4 linked regions of the Macaca fascicularis genome follow. The protein of the gene in region 1 purifies or fractionates together with the protein of each later gene. This does not show direct contact. Links are inferred from orthologs where the notes say so. Each region holds a gene or a part of one and is shown on either strand. Other genes may lie near its edges.

Region 1 (4,208 bases):
TAAGAAAATACTTAAGAACAAACAAGAAAATTGTATCTGAAGATACTATAGCCAAGTTTCTGGTAAATTCAAAGGGAAATGAACATCCCCTAAAATATCCAGATCCTGAATTTACGTTTCATCACTTAATACTTACAGCAACAGCCTGAGTGCCACTGGAGCCATTTATTAAAAATTAGTCATTACTACTAAGCACATTCTCCCCACCCTTGAAGAAGACGAAGAAAAAAAACAGAACTACTCAGGTGTGGGGAAGGGGTGTGTATATGGGGCAAGTGAAAGTAGCAACTTGTCTCTCTGGGGACAATTAAAAAATGAGACTTTGGTTTGACCCAAGTATCACCAGGATGTCAGAAAACTAAGGAAGGGTCTTCTTCTAATAACTGCTTCATTGCTCTTCTTTTTCTTAAAATGGAAATGGTCTGTCACAATGTAGACATGGAAATGAGCACCATGTGGAACAGTGATTAGACAGCGAAAGAAACTAACAGAATTACTGGAATTTGCCTTCGGAGTGGTGTAGATAACGAAGTAGGAAGTGCTTATGCATGTTTTAAGGCTCGTGTTTAAGCAAAGACACATGCAATTCAAGATTAATATACAAGAACCACTTTTCAATTTTTTGAAAAAAAAATTAAGTTCAGGCTTAACTATGAAATAAAAATTTCACTACGTATACCTGCACTAGTTGCTAAACTGCATTCCACTTAAAGGACAGTACAGGTAACATGCCTCAGTAGACCGGAGTGTAAAAACACACAGACCACCACTGGACAGATCTCTATGTCATACACCGCCTTGGTTTTTTTTTTTTTTTCAAACGGAGTCTCCTCGCTCTGTAGCCCAGGCCGGAGTGCGGTGACGCCATCTTGGCTCACTGCAACCTCCGCCTCCCGGGTTCAAGCGATTCTCCTGCCTCGGCCTCCCGGAGCAGCTGGGGCTACAGGCGCGCGCCACCACGCCCAGCTAATTTTTGTATTTTTAGTAGAGACGGAGTTTCACCATATTGGCCAGGCTGTATGGAGCTCCGACCTCAGGTGAACCGCCCACCGCGGCCTCCCAAAGTGCTGGTATTACAGGTGGGAGTGAGCCGCCGCGCCCAGCCTATAAACCGCTGTTAAGGTTGCAAGATGAGCGTGTACTAGGATGTGTAACTGGTAATTTCTGGAGTGTCTGGCAACAAACCTCAAAATCAAATTTCCTTAGAAATCCTTGGCCTAAGTTTTATTTTTAAAAAGGTCAACACAAAATTAATAAGTTCAAAAGGTGGCAAGTTCTATCACATTAATAAAACCAAAGCACAGCACAGGCAATAATATATTAACAAGAAGGTAATTATTTCAGTAACAGCAGCAACAGGTTCCCTGGAGGAGAATCCCCACTTCTCTATAAACGCTGCACCTAGATGGATTCAGAGCACAAAATTTACCACAGGACAACATCTAGCAGACCGAAGTCAAGCAACGCTGATCTTTTAAACAGATTTCACATTTCTTACCATTTCCTACCTTAACACTCCACCAAAAAAAGCAAACACCTATCGAAATATAAAAAATAACGTTTCTAGCAACCCAAAAGTAGCTCAGAGATCTCAAAAAAAAAAAAAAAAATAGGGAAAGGGGTGCTGATGCTAATAAAGTGACACTACAAAAACTAAGTGCAAAAGTAAACCTACTCCTCACAGCGTATCACAGAACAGTTAATGGTTCAGGTACAGAGCCTCCTCCCCCAGGTCCTCCTTCCGCGACCATGACTCCCCAGTGACTATTTTACACCAAGTAACTACTGAAAACGCCCAAGGAAAAGAAGTGGGGGAGGGTGGCTTTTGAAGATTCAGGTAGCAAAGAGTGACTGCTAATTTCATAAACAATAATGCAAAACAAGCAAACCACCGCTCCTAGCCAATTACCAAGCAGGAGTCAAAGTTCCACCACGTAATTCGGGCCTGGGCCTTTTTTAGGCAAACACGTAATCGAAAGCACAGTCATTTCCCTCTTGATATTTTATTCATGCCGGCAATACCATTCACACTGAGAAGGTAGCAAAACAAAAGAAAAAAATAACAGCAGAGAAGGCAGAGGGGCGCGGGGTGTCCCAGCCTCCGTCTCTCCCCGGCCGCGAGCTCCCGCAGGCCGGGACGGGAAGCGCAGCGTCCTCTCTGCTGAGGTCTCGACCCCCACCCGCCCCACGGGGCCGAGGGTCCCCTGGGCGGCAGCGGGAGGGGACGTGGGGGCGGCGGGGACGCCAGACGCCGCGGGGACACCGGACGCCACAGAGAGCCTGTCGCCTCGGGGGCCTCCCCGGGCTGCGGGAAGTTTCCGTCCCGCTCTCGCGGCCCCTCCCGGCGAGCCCGCCGCAGCCCACGCTCAGGTGCAAACTTCCCAAACGTCGCTGCGCCCGGGGTCCCAACCCGCGCCCAGACCCGACGCCCTCCCCCGGCGCGATCCCGGCCGTCTGCACGGTCCGCCGCACCCATGCCCAGAAGGGACTGGCTGGGCCGCGGACCCGCCCGGGGACCCCACCGAGGACGCAGAGTGACCCCTCGGCCACCCCCGGCCCCAACCCTCCCCGCGGCCCCAGCCCCGACCGTCCCCGCGCCGCCGCGGGCCTGAGCGACCGGCCGGGCCTGCGCTGCGCGCCCCTCACCTTGGTGGCCATGGCGGGCGGGTCCCCCGGCCCGGGACGGCCGGCTTGTCTCCCGCGCCGCGGATGGTGATTCTGAGCCGCGCGGACGAAGGCAAGGGCGAGGGCGGCGGCTCCGGCTGGGCCCCGGCGCGGCGGCCGCTCCTGCGCCTCGGCCCCGAGTCTCGACGCTCAGGCCCAGCCGCTGGGCGCTCGGCTACTCCCGCGCCGCCCGCTCCTGCAGTTCCTGAAAGTCCCCGGCTGCGCGGCCCCCGCCCCTGCCGGCCGAGCCTCCCATTTACCGCGGCGCGCGCGGCGCCCGGCGGAAGCGCGCCCTGGGCCCTCGGCCGCGGCCCGGCCTCCTCGCCTCCTGGCCGCCCCCGCGCTGCGCCGCGCCGCGCCGCCGCCCCGGGCAGTCGCTGCCGCCGCCGCCGGGCGCCCTGGGTCGAGGACGGGGGCTGCGTCCCGCGCGGCGGCGGGATCCGGACAGGCGCCCCGGGCCATGGCCCGCACCCTGCGTGGCCGCCCCACGGGAAGCGCTCCGCGGCCCGCACAGCCGCTCGGGGGAGCCGAACCCGACTCCGGTTCACGCTCGGCCAGCGCCGCACGCCGTGGCTCGGGGCTTTCCGTGCATGAGGCGGGCGGGGGGGCAGGAACTCTCGACGCTCCCGGCAGACAGGAGCCCCGCAACCCCGCTGTCTTTGCCCCACGCCGGGGGTGTTGCGGGGTCGCCGTGCCCTTGGCCGAGTACCTTGAGTGCCACGTAAACAGCCGGGAAGGAACGGAGCAATGGCTTCCTGGGCCTCTTTCTCCTGCCCGGAGGCTCCCTCAGGCTGGGGTCCTGGCTTGGAGCCCCTGGGACGGGACGGTGGGGGGTTCGTTTTGTGACGTCCCATTAACCTCATTCTGGAATCTTGATAAGTTTAAAAATGCCCGAGGGCCCAAGAGGTTTAGGGGACAACAGGCTCTCTGAAGTGGAAACGAGGGCTCTAAAATTTTCCATCTTTCTGTCAGTGTTTCTCTCCAGGGTTGGAGATATATATATGGGTGTTATGAATAAACGAATGACTTGAATTGAGCAGCAAGATTTTTCGCTCAAGGACAAAACACAACTGGAAGATGTATCATAATTGGCATATTAGTGGAGTGCTTTTTTATTATGAGGGATATATTTGTAAGAAGAGACAACTATCAAATCTTCAATACTCTGATATTTAGAGTTAATGTCAAGTTTGTGTCTCCTTAAATACATTCTATTTGACCTGAGGTTTCACTAGTTACATTCAATAATGTGGTTTAAAATAGATACGGTATCGCAGAATTTTCTGTGAATTTTTGTGTTTGTTGAGCTCATGGTTAAGCTATAGTCATCATAATATGCATAAATAGTTGTCTTTCTCCATAAAAAAAGATGGAGGCCAATATTCATTGACAGCCTGCTTGCTAATATACTGGGCTTTTACATCCCCATCTCATTTAATCCTTATAAGAAACGTTTGAGAAGCTCATTATTGTCCACTGTTTACAAAGAAGAGCGAATCAGGGCTCACTTAAATAACTTGCGCTTTTGGTAATACTTACTCAAA
Region 2 (4,258 bases), on another chromosome or scaffold:
CTTTGAAGCATTTTCCGTGGGGGATTGGCTCCTGGGAAGCCCCAGGAGACAGAATGGCTGTTACTATGCTCACCAGGCTGGGGACTGAGCCCTGTTGGAGAGGTCAGGAGCCCTTGAAGGAGCTGTCAGGCTGAGATGGTGGAACCCACTGAGCCTCAGTTTCCCTGGCCTTCTCACTAGCTTTCAGGGGATCATGAATGCTTTCCTGCCTACTCCTTCACATCAACCTAAGCCCCCTCCCCTGCCCTGAGCCTGCATCTGGACACCCTGCACATCCTCCTGTGGGGACCTGGCCAAGGGCATTGGGGTGCAGAGGGCAGCCAGAGGGCCCAGGCCTCCTGGGGTACAGTCCACACCCTGCTCCGCCACTCAGCCAGCAAGTACTTGCTGAAATCTGCCGTGGTCAGGGCTGGCCCCTGCATCATGGGCTCCAGGAGGGCAGGGGCTGGACATGCAGGTCCCCAAGCCTAATTGGCTATCAACGCCCTGTCCCGCATATTTACAAAAGAACCTTTCCACCCATGAACTCAGTGGAGCCCACAGTCACCTTCTCAGGAAGGCAGGGCAGTGGCTGTCAGCGTTCCCATTCCACAGATGGGGAAATGGAGGCCCACCCACCCGCTTGTCCCTGTGTCTGGTGCAGGATCCGGCTCTCAGAGGATGTGCAGCGTCGAGATTAGGAACTGGGCTTTGGAGTCTAACAGCTGCTGCCCTTCCTGAATGTGTGACCTTGGGCAAGGCATTTAACCTCCAGGGTCTCAGTTTCCTCATCTGTAGGATGGGCATCATGGTGCCTGCCTCTTGGGAGCTCCTGTGAGCCTATGACTGATTCAGCATAGGGGGTACATAGGATGGACTCAGTAGACGGGGGCTGAAATCACCAGTTGGTTCCCTCCCTACCCCAAGCCTGGAGCACGCAGCCTGGCGTGGGGCAGGAATTCAGCCAACATTCAAAGGAGGAGAGGTAGGAATATGGTTTCTCCACTCTAAACTGTTGGCTGTCCCTGACTGCCGGCCCTTGGGGAAGGGGCTCATTGTGTGTCTCTTGCCTGGGTCTCTGCAGCTCTGGGGGTCATGTGATCAGAAGGGGGGTTCTGCAGGAGCCATCGGAGAGACAGATGCCTCCCCCTCTGCTGACCAGATGGGCACGGCCGCCTCCACGGTGGCATTCCAACATCCCACACATACGTGGCTCCAGTCAGGCCCTCTCCCTCTCACCTCTAGGGCTGGCATGGGTTTCCCAGGACATTTGAGGGGCAGGAACAACCATCTAGTCCCACTGTCCATGTTAGAGATGGGGACACTAAGGCTCAGAGAGGGCAAGTGACTTGCCTGAGGTTTTGCAGCAGAACCTGGCTTGGACAGAATTGCTGTCCCTCTGCGGAGAAGGACCCCTGCCTCCCTCTCCCATGTGCCAGTCACTTTTTTGGCCCTGAAGGTCATTGGAAGAAAGCAAGGGTTTCTGAAGAAGATGGGGGGGAGATGAAAGAGGGGGTCAGTGTAAACTCTCTCACTTCGTCTCCCAGTCTGCCCAGCCCCCCATCTCACCTCCAGTACCTGGAGAGCTCCTATCTTTCCTCTCTGTCCTCAGCACCAGAAAAACTGTTTCTTCCTCCCCCTGGGGGTTTGGGGAGAGCCTGGGGGTCACGACCCTCCCTGCCCCCGTAATCCCAGGACCCTTTGTCTTTGTGGTTGCTCCCCTCTCCGCCACCTAGGCCTCCCAGCGCCTTGTGGGATCAGAGGCGGGAGGGGGATTAGGTTCTGCAAATGGCTCCCCCCTCCCGCCATCCCGGTCTTAGTCATCTCTGCCCTCTGCCGCCTCTCCCTCCATCACGATCCCTCTGGCCAGGCCAAGGGGACGGCGACACTGAGAGGCGCCCCCCACCCAGGGGCCGTGGCGAAGCAAGGGGCCGGCTGCTCAGAGAAGGATAAGAAGTGGTTTCTCCTCCCCTCTTCCCTTCCTCATCCTGCAGCCCGCGCCTCCCCCTCTCCGCCGCGCTGCGCACGGATGGCGGCGGGAGCCGCAGAGGTGTGTGTGTGCCGGGGGGAGGCCGTACCGGGTCCTCGATGCCCACGGGACTACGTCCTCTTTTAGGGACTGGGGTGGGGGTCTGACCCCTGCCACGGCCCAGGAATTCCCATGGGGGTAGGAGGATGTCCCCCATAGAGTCCGGTGGGGGGGCCGCTGCCCCCGGGTGCTGCCCGCTCCAAGGGACTCCCGGAGCCCAACGGAGGCGCTGAGTAATGCGGGCTCTCTCCATGCCCATGTTGGGGGCGGGGGGCAGCCCTTTGGCCAGGGCTTCTGTCAGAGGGTTGTCTGCCCTAAAGGATGGGACGGAGGAGGGGGCGTGATTCGGCAGCCGGAGGCTTGACGACGTTTGCAGACTAGCGGGCGGCGCTGCTGCCCGGAGGGGCTCTCGAGGTGGGGAGGGCCGCCTCGCTCCGGCTGGGGGTGGGGGGCGCGCCGGCCGCGGGTGCAGCGTCGGGGGCTGCGAGGTCGCCGCGCCGTCGGTGCCCCGGGCAGGGACTCCGGGGATCCTGGGGGTCGGGGGTCGGCGCCTGGGGGCGCGCCGCGCCTACCTGCCTACGAAATTCTCGAGCACCGAGCTCTTGCCGGCGCTCTGGCCGCCCACCACGGCGATCTGCGGCAGGTCGAGGTCCGCGTTCTGGCCGATGGCAGAGAAGGCGTCTTGCAGCCGGTTGACCAGCGGGATGAGATCTTCCATGCCGCGGTTGCCCATGGCTGCGGCGGGCCCCGCAGGCTGCGATCCGGCTGCCGCTCGCGCTCCCGGCTCCGACTCCGGCTCCGCCGCTGCAGCCTCGCGCCCCGACTGCCTGAGCCGCGCGGCCCCCGCCCCTCGGGGATCGGAGCGAGCACCGCTCCGGGAAGCCGCTAGGGGGAGCCCGCGACGCTGCGGGCCGGCCGCCGTGCGCAGGCGCCGCCCGGGGCACCATGGGTGTCGTAGTTTTAACCTTCTGCGGCTTTCGGGGTGCTTTAGCAGTGTCTAGGGTGCGCGGACGGATGCTGCGCAGAATATATTTGTCAATGGGTGGGGTCTCACTCCTAGTACCAGGCCTCTTGGATAGTGGTCATGGATGTTTCACTCTATCTTACCGATGAGGAAACTGAGGCCTGGAGAGTAGATGGGCTTCCTCTGAGGTCACAGCTTCCTGACCTGGAGTTCCCCTTCACCTCGCTGCCTTCGACCCCTAGATCCTGACTCTGATCTCCAACATGTCCCTTTCTGCCTTTGGTCCTCAGTTTCCTTGTTTCTAGAAGGAGAAAGTTGGAGCATGAATTCAACAAATATTTACTAGGTACCTGCTAGAAGCCAGGCCCTGTCCTAGGCACGGAAGATTGAGCAACGAATAAGACAGCCAAGGCCTCTGCCCTCATAGATCTTGCATCAAGCTGGTGAGATCGACACTAAATGGATAAGCAGATACACAAAACAGTAAAAATGAAAATAGTTTATAGTAACAGGGATGGAGGAAATAAACAGTGTGAAAAAAAGGTATCATTGTGGGTGTGGAAAGTTCACATTGACTTGGGAGGAGTCGGGGGACTTCTCTGCAGAAGTGACATTTAAGAAGAGACCAGAACGATGACAAGGAGCCAGCAGCAAGCAGATCGGGGGAAGAGCATGCCAGGCTGAATGACCAGCAAGTGCAGAGGCCCTGATGCCTGAAAGGCCCTTCTTGGGAGAATTGGAAGCTCTTGCCCTAGAGTTGGAAGTCTTTGCTCCAGCCCATTAGGATGGTGGTAAAACAGCATAAAACGGTGGGATTCGGCCGGGCGAGGTGGCTCACCCCTGTAATCCCAGCACTTTGGGAGGCCGAGGCGGGCAGATCACGAGGTCGGGAGATCACCTGGCTAACACGGCGAAACCCCATCTCTACTAAAAATACAAAAAATTAGCTGGGCGTGGTGGCGGACGTCTGTGGTCCCAGCTACTCAGGAGGCTGAGGCAGGAGAATGGCATGAACCCGGGAGGCGGAGCTTGCAGTGAGCCGAGATCGCGCCACTGCACTCCAGCCTGGGCGACAGAGCGAGACTCCGTCTCACAAAAAAAAAAAAAAAAAAAAAAGCAGTGGGATTCAAATCCAAGCCTCCTACAATCCTGCCCTGCTTACCCTTTCACACGGAGAGACCATGGGGCCCTGAGCCCAGCCATCCACCTCTGCATTTAAGAAACCTAATTAGTATTCATGGCGGAGGCTAGGAAGGGAAGGCTAGCCTACACTGTGCTTATGGGGA
Region 3 (3,563 bases), on another chromosome or scaffold:
TTAGAACCTAACGATTGAGGAAGTCTCCTAACAAAATGGTCAACTCTCAGCACAGTTACTCCACGGGAAAACCCACTGGTCAATGAATCCCTCTCATGTACACAAATTAGCTTTTGGTGCTCCACTTTCATGCACGAACAAGTGGCAAAAGATGGACAAACATTTGAAAAAGGTCTCTAACATCAAAGACAGAAACAAAAACAAACAATCAGAAAACAATGGACTCAGACAATGTCGATTACAAAAGAAAACCTTCAAAAAGCTCTCACTAAAATCCTTGGAGGAAGATATTATATTTGTGAAAACAAGAACAAGATGCTATTTTTAAAAATAAAAATAACATTCACTAAGTAAAAAAAAATGAACTTTTAAAATGAATCGGAAAAGCAGAAGATAAAGTTGAGTAAATCTTGCTAAAAGTAGAACAAAAAGACAAGAAATAGATTATAGAAAAGAAAGATTGAAATAAAGGATTCATTCAGGAGTTCTAACCTGCTAATAATAAGAACTACAGATAAAAAGAACAAAGAAAATTGGGGCAATTAATTATGAAACAAAGAAAAATTCCTAAAATTGAAGTACATGCATCTCCGTATTAAAAGGGCACATCACTAAATGCCCTTCCGCAATCACTTTATTATTATTATGTTTTTTTTTGTTTGTTTTTGTTTTTTTGAGATGGAGTCTTGCTCTCTTGCTGTGTCGCCCAGGCTGGAATGCAATGGTGCGACCTCAGCTCACTGCAACCTCCTCTGCCTCAACCTCCCAAGTAGCTGGGATTGTAGGCGCCCATCACCACGCCCAGCTAATTTTTGTATTTTTAGTAGAGATGGGGTTTCACCATCTTGGCCAGACTGGTCTTAAACTCCTGACCTCGTGATCCACCTGCCTCAGCCTCCCAAAGTGCTGGGATTACAGGCGTGAGCCACTGCACCCGGCCCCGTGGTCACTTTAAACAGACACACACCGAGGCCAGCATTGAGGTCTCTGATGATAAACTGTCATTATTCAACTCAGAGAAATAAAAAGCTAAAACATCCGCCTAAGAAAGGAACTTTTCTGGATTTTGAGATGGCAATAACAAATAAATCCCTGCTTTTATATATATTGGTTCTCAAATAATTATAAACTAAATAATATCTTACATGCATTAATAGAGCTTCCTATTTTAAAGAAACAAGACAAAGAAAAAACACAGAAAGACTTTTCGTTGGGAGTATATGCAGGTAACTCATAATATTAGTAGATTGTCTGAATTCTGCTGTACCAGAAGTTTACTTTATCAACTTTTTAAAATACATAGCCCATGAGGCTTAGAAATGTCTATTTTCTTGATCTCATTATTCTTAGATTTATATAGGTTTTGACTATATAAATTTCATTATTTTAGTAAATCTTTACTAAATTATTTTTAATATTAAATACTGAATTTGTATTTAAAATACAAAAGGTTTAACAATATTAACAATGCCTAATTTATTTATAATGAAATCGAGTCTTGAGAATTTGTGTTACCTTTAAAGATACCAAAACTCCTGACACTTTAATTCCCTCTCATCTTAGTAGTCACACACTCACCTTGAGGATCAACTTCTTTAGCTAGCTTCAGCGCATCTGAGTTTGCAAGATCAGTATTGGCTGGAGTAACAGCTAAAATCAGACAGTTCTCCCTCGTGATGAACTGCATAATCATTTCTCTGATCTGATACTCAATATCTGGTGGCTGATCTCCCACGGGCACTTTGGTTATCCCAGGTAGATCAATAAGGGTTAGATTTAACACTGTGTGGAAAGGATAAAAGAGTCTTACATACACCTTCAATGCTAAAAGATAACACAGAACCATTTGTCACTTAGCTCAGCTTTCTACATTGTGTATCTGAACAACTCAAACCCATGTGTGAAGAATAAAAAGCATAAAATAAAAATGGTTTTGCTAGTTTTCTCTAATTTTATGATATGATTGTGCTATGCCAAATGATCACTTTAACATAATTTGAAAGGCACTGATTTGCATGCCTAACAGTTTGCTCAGAAAGCTGTCATATCTGTAACTAGGGGGTTATAATTAAAACACCAAACGAAAAATGCATATGCTGTCTGCCAGTCTTGTACATCGCCTTCAAGTGGTATAAAAACTCGCAGGGTAAGATTTGCCCTTTCCTTAAAAAGTATCATATGTTTTTTATAGAAAGTTAACCACTTAGCCTAGTAGAAAGCTGTTAGCCATTCGTGGTGCCCTGGGTTTACTGAATTAGCTGTATGAACAGAGTCAGCAACAACATGACTCTAGCCCAACCTCTCTGTACAAATAATGTTGGCACCAAGTACCCTTGGGAAGTCCTAATTGAGCTTATGTCATTTATATTCTGTTTTAAAAGCAATAGAGCTAAGTAGGGAATAAGAAATGAAAATTTGCCCACTAAAAATTTAGTCAGCATAGAGGCTATTTCCCATCACACCTTATGGATTGGTTATCTAATTTATAAGTTTCTACCGATAGTCTGGGGGGAAAACTCAGAGCTGATTTCTCAGGAAGAAAATAAATAGGACTATATATGGCTGCAAGAAATCCAATAGGGGAGGATGCAACCATAGTAACATGTACCTCTAAGATTTCAGCAAAGACTGAAAAATGGAAGTTTTCATACATACCCTTCTCAAATTCTAAAAGCTTATTATGAAAATGAAGAAAAAATATTTAATGACTAACTCAATTCTGTTTTTATTAAAGTCATCTCCTCCTCCCTCTCCTTAAATGTTCTAAGAGCTCTTTGAACCATAACATTAATGGGCAGTATCCAAAGGATACCCTAGAAAGCCAGCACTGTTTGTATCTTCTGTACAAATGATGTATGTTAATTAATGTAGTAAAAATGTTTGGGGAGAAGAATTTGGAATTTTATTATTTTACTTACCATGTGGGGAATAGACTCGTAAATTAATGGGTATGGAGGAAATGCCTTTATTCATTCCAGTCACGCGATCTGTTTCTGCTTCAATCTCATGCCGAACTTCATCAAAATCTGTAAATTTCTTTCCTTTGCAATGTAGAAACTCAGCATATTCTACAAAAACAAAACCAAAATGACACGACTTAAATTCATGCATTTTTGCCATATTATAAAAAATGTTTCTTTAATTATAAGTCAAATTATCCGATATTCTCTCTTCATCCCTCATGAACATCCCACAGAACACAGTAGTTACTAAGAATCACAATTAATACTTCAGAAATATTAAACATAGTACAGATGCTATAGATGCTAAATTTGCTAATTTTCAGTTGAGCAATTAAATACTATAACCAGTCCCTAAAGCACAAAGCCTATTAAATAATTTAAAGAAAATTTTGGCTGTCCAAATGACAAAGCAAACAACAGCACCTGATTGTTAAAAACATTAGATCTAGGATACCACTGAGTTCTGTTAGCATTTCCCTCTTCAGTATCACCATTTCATCAGGATGGAATGCCAAGTTATATAAATATATCTTCAGAAGGTAAAATAAGTTAGGGGGAATCATTTGATTAATTTGTTAAAAATAAATAATATATGGAATC
Region 4 (3,563 bases), on another chromosome or scaffold:
TCTCTGTCATCTTAATGAATACTTAAGGAAAAAGTAAAATGTATAAGTTTGAGTTTACTCACCCAGTGAGTAGTCATTTAATGTCTTTATATTTTCTTTGTAAAGAAGTAATAAATTAGATTTTGAAGTGTGGTTTTCTTTTGGCTAAATTATAGATTTTCCTTTTTAAAGGAAACAAAAACAGCCTAAGCTTCCTTCAGAGTCTTAGGAAATTTGGGTAGATGAAGGTGTAATTGGCAATTGTCATAAAAGAGGCTACTGTCAATTATCTTTTTAAAAAATTCTCTTTTTAATATTTTCTTGTAGCACAACAAATCAGAAGCTCTGGGCTGTAGAACTTCAGAAGACAATCTCCAGAGACAACAAGTATGTGCTGCTGGCTTCTGAACAGTTGGTGGGCGTCTGTTTGTTTGTTTTTATCAGACCACAGCATGCTCCTTTTATCAGGTCAGTAAACAGAACACTCCTCTAAGGCTACTTCCTACCATTACATAACAAGAAAAGCCTAGAATGTTTATTGTTTCAGTTCTTCAAACAAAAACTATCTATAGTTCTTGTTTTAAAATGGGGTTTTGGGGGTTTTGATTAAAGACTCACTAATAGCTTCACTGTACTATTTCAAAGGCTTGCCCTCAAAGTACCATACCATGTGTACTTATATGATTATGTATATTCCTAATTTCCTATGCACATGGAACTCTTGAAATTTCAAATCTGCGATTTAGAATTCTTTGTTTCAAAGGGATGTTGCAGTTGATACTGTGAAGACTGGAATGGGAGGTGCAACTGGAAATAAGGGAGCAGTTGCAATCCGAATGCTCTTCCATACAACCAGCCTTTGCTTTGTCTGTAGCCACTTTGCTGCAGGACAGTCACAAGTCAAAGAAAGAAACGAAGATTTTGTAGAAATAGCACGAAAATTGAGTTTTCCTATGGTAAGCTCTTGCTGCTTGTTCTTGAAGATAAAGCTTTGAAATGTATTTTAATTTGCCCCAAATTCTACATCATTGTTTTTGAAACTTTAAGATAGTTCCTAGAAACATTAAGAATATTCACCTAAATAGATATTTCATGTATATTAACCCAAAATATCTGAGACAGGTCTCAGTCAATTTGGAAAGTTTATTTTGCCAAGGTTAAGGACGTGGCCATGATGTAGCCTCCAGAATTCAGAATGAGATGTGCCCAAGGTGGTCAGGGGCACAGTTTGCTTTTATACATTTTAGGGAGACCTGAGACATCAGCCAATATGTGTATGATGTACACTGGTTCGGTCTGGTAAGGCAGGACAACTCGAAGTCAGGGCTTTCAGGTTAGAAGTAGATAAGAGGCAAAAGGTTGCATTCTTTTAAGTCCTAGATCAGCCTTCCACTGAATACATAATTTAGTCTGGCTCAGTGAATCCGCATTTTTACATAAACAATAGGGCAGAGGAAGCAGGCAGATGTGCATTTGTCTCAGGTGAGTCTCAGAGGGATGACTTTGAGTTCTGTCTATACTTTGTCCACAAGGAATTTCCTGTGGGCAAATTGTGAGGGAGTATGTAGCTTCTTATCTTTGGAGCTATCTTATTTAGGAATAAAGTGAGAGGCAGGTTTACCTGTCATAGTTCCTGGCTTGATTTTTCTCTGGGCTTAGTGATTTTGGGGTCCTGAGATTGATTTTCCTTTCACATGTGTTATTACTGTTGGGTTAAAGAAACAGGACATGGGAGGAGACAAGCATATCTCAGGCAAAGAAACAGTTGTAAAACATTTTTGAACATTGATTGTTTTGAATTTAAAGTTCTGTCTCATTGCTTTCAGGGAAGGATGCTGTTTTCCCATGACTATGTATTTTGGTGTGGTGATTTCAACTATCGAATTGATCTCCCTAATGAAGAAGTTAAAGAGCTCATAAGACAGCAAAATTGGGATTCTCTTATAGCAGGAGATCAACTTATCAATCAGAAAAATGCTGGACAGGTATATCCATACTTCTTGCATTAAGATTTTGGGTCATGAAACATGCCTTTTTAAATCAAGATGTTTTAAAATTTTCTTGGGGTCTTTTTATACTTAAATATTTATAGGTAGGTAAATAGATAATAGAATTATCTTTCCTTAAAGTATAGTAGGATGAGCTGCACGCAGACAAGAATCCCTCAGACACCGAGTTGTAGAAGGAAAGGGCTTTATTCAGCTGGGAGCATCAGCGGACTCACGTCTCCAAAAACCGAGCTCCCCGAGTGAGCAATTCCTGGGTCATGATCGATTGAGCAAGCAGGGGGTATGTGACTGGGGGCTGCATGCACTGGTAATCAGAATGGAACAGAACAGGACAAGGATTTTCATGATGCTTTTCCATACAATGTCTGAAATCTATAGATAACACAAGCAGTTAGGTCAATGGTTAATTTTTAACTACCAGGCCCAGAGCTCGGTGCTGGGTTGTCTGCCTGTGGCTTCCATTTCTGCCTTTTAGTTTTTACTTCTTCTTTCTTTGGAGGCAGAAATTGGGCATAAGACAATATGAGGGGTGGTCTCCTGCCTTATTCCCCTCTTTGAGAACTTCACTCATTAGTGGGAGTTCTCACTTTCATCCTCACTTACCCATGTCGTCTTGCAAGACAGATCGATAGTGATTCATATAGTATACTTGTGCTGAAGCATTTTGGTGAACTAAAGTAGCAATGAAGCTTTTTATCATTTGAAAAAGTACAGGTAGCAAACAAGGGAGCAGTAAACAGGTTCCTATTACTATTATAACTCTTATTATAAGAGTTTTAAATCCTCCTTTCGCTGGGAACCATTTTCCAAGCATGGCCCCAGGATCAAATCCATGCCACACTTGCACAGGTACATGTGCCAGTTTTATCATATCTCTATGTCTTCAACTACTTGCCCTTGATCATCTATGTATAGACAGCAATTAGTAAGGTTAAATTTCCCACAGACCCCCTCCTTCAGCTGCTAGCAAGTAGTTGAGAGCCAATCTATTTTGATAGATAGCATTTCTTATCTGAGTTTCTTGCTGGGCCAGAATAGTCAAGGCTCTGCAGGTTTTATTAGTGATTATTTCTAAGATAGCTTATAACTGTATGATTCGCTTGAGCATGTAAATGGTATCCTCCTGAGCCATCTTGTGCCCAAGTAGCAGGCCCGTAATATTGTATGATTCTCTCAGGGGGCCATTCATCATCTTTCCAATTCCTATAGCTATGCTTCTCTTTTCGTGGGAAGCATAGACAGGGAAGCCCAGGAGTTCGCCTGTCTTTATGGGCAGTAGGAAGAAAGATGGTTTAATAGTGCCAACACAACTACCTGCCCACTGGTCAGGTAATTTGACGTAAGCTGTATGCCCACATATCCAGTATAATCCAGTGGGGGCTGTCCAGTTCCCCGGGAGTCCGGGTGGGTCCACATGGTTTGCAACTTTGGGAATTTACTAAGTGGATTCCTTTCTGTGTGATTTGAACTCCACCAAGTGACTGTTTTTGTGGTACCATTATACAGTTTCTGTCCCAGACAACTAAGTTGTTCTATGGGGTGAGTGAATTCTTTTCCTTCTCTAGCTATACAATA

Evidence for each region.
Region 2: the proteins of SNX9 (region 1) and DNM1 purify together in Homo sapiens (co-immunoprecipitation; 6 studies listed by BioGRID and IntAct, counting the BioPlex papers as one, with this or other methods). This does not show direct contact. The link is inferred for Macaca fascicularis from reciprocal best matches to the Homo sapiens genes SNX9 and DNM1.
Region 3: the proteins of SNX9 (region 1) and DNM3 purify together in Homo sapiens (co-immunoprecipitation; 3 studies listed by BioGRID and IntAct, counting the BioPlex papers as one, with this or other methods). This does not show direct contact. The link is inferred for Macaca fascicularis from reciprocal best matches to the Homo sapiens genes SNX9 and DNM3.
Region 4: the proteins of SNX9 (region 1) and SYNJ1 purify together in Homo sapiens (co-immunoprecipitation; 3 studies listed by BioGRID and IntAct, counting the BioPlex papers as one, with this or other methods). This does not show direct contact. The link is inferred for Macaca fascicularis from reciprocal best matches to the Homo sapiens genes SNX9 and SYNJ1.

The regions. Positions count from the first base shown.
Region 1 is NC_088378.1:66,161,062-66,165,269, reverse strand, and holds the start of SNX9 (sorting nexin-9), read right to left. Parts: upstream 2,848-4,208; 5' UTR 2,659-2,847; coding exon 2,647-2,658; intron 1-2,646. UniProt on the Homo sapiens protein: Involved in endocytosis and intracellular vesicle trafficking, both during interphase and at the end of mitosis. Required for efficient progress through mitosis and cytokinesis. Required for normal formation of the cleavage furrow at the end of mitosis.
Region 2 is NC_088389.1:15,777,576-15,781,833, forward strand, and holds the start of DNM1 (dynamin-1), read right to left. Parts: upstream 2,834-4,258; 5' UTR 2,742-2,833; coding exon 2,581-2,741; intron 2,030-2,580; exon of another isoform or gene 1,757-2,029; intron 1-1,756. UniProt on the Homo sapiens protein: Catalyzes the hydrolysis of GTP and utilizes this energy to mediate vesicle scission and participates in many forms of endocytosis, such as clathrin-mediated endocytosis or synaptic vesicle endocytosis as well as rapid endocytosis (RE).
Region 3 is NC_088375.1:29,601,712-29,605,274, reverse strand, and holds part of DNM3 (dynamin-3), read right to left. Parts: intron 3,069-3,563; coding exon 2,919-3,068; intron 1,783-2,918; coding exon 1,579-1,782; intron 1-1,578. UniProt on the Homo sapiens protein: Microtubule-associated force-producing protein involved in producing microtubule bundles and able to bind and hydrolyze GTP. Most probably involved in vesicular trafficking processes, in particular endocytosis.
Region 4 is NC_088377.1:14,231,798-14,235,360, forward strand, and holds part of SYNJ1 (synaptojanin-1), read left to right. Parts: intron 1-306; coding exon 307-447; intron 448-742; coding exon 743-935; intron 936-1,805; coding exon 1,806-1,964; intron 1,965-3,563. UniProt on the Homo sapiens protein: Phosphatase that acts on various phosphoinositides, including phosphatidylinositol 4-phosphate, phosphatidylinositol (4,5)-bisphosphate and phosphatidylinositol (3,4,5)-trisphosphate. Has a role in clathrin-mediated endocytosis.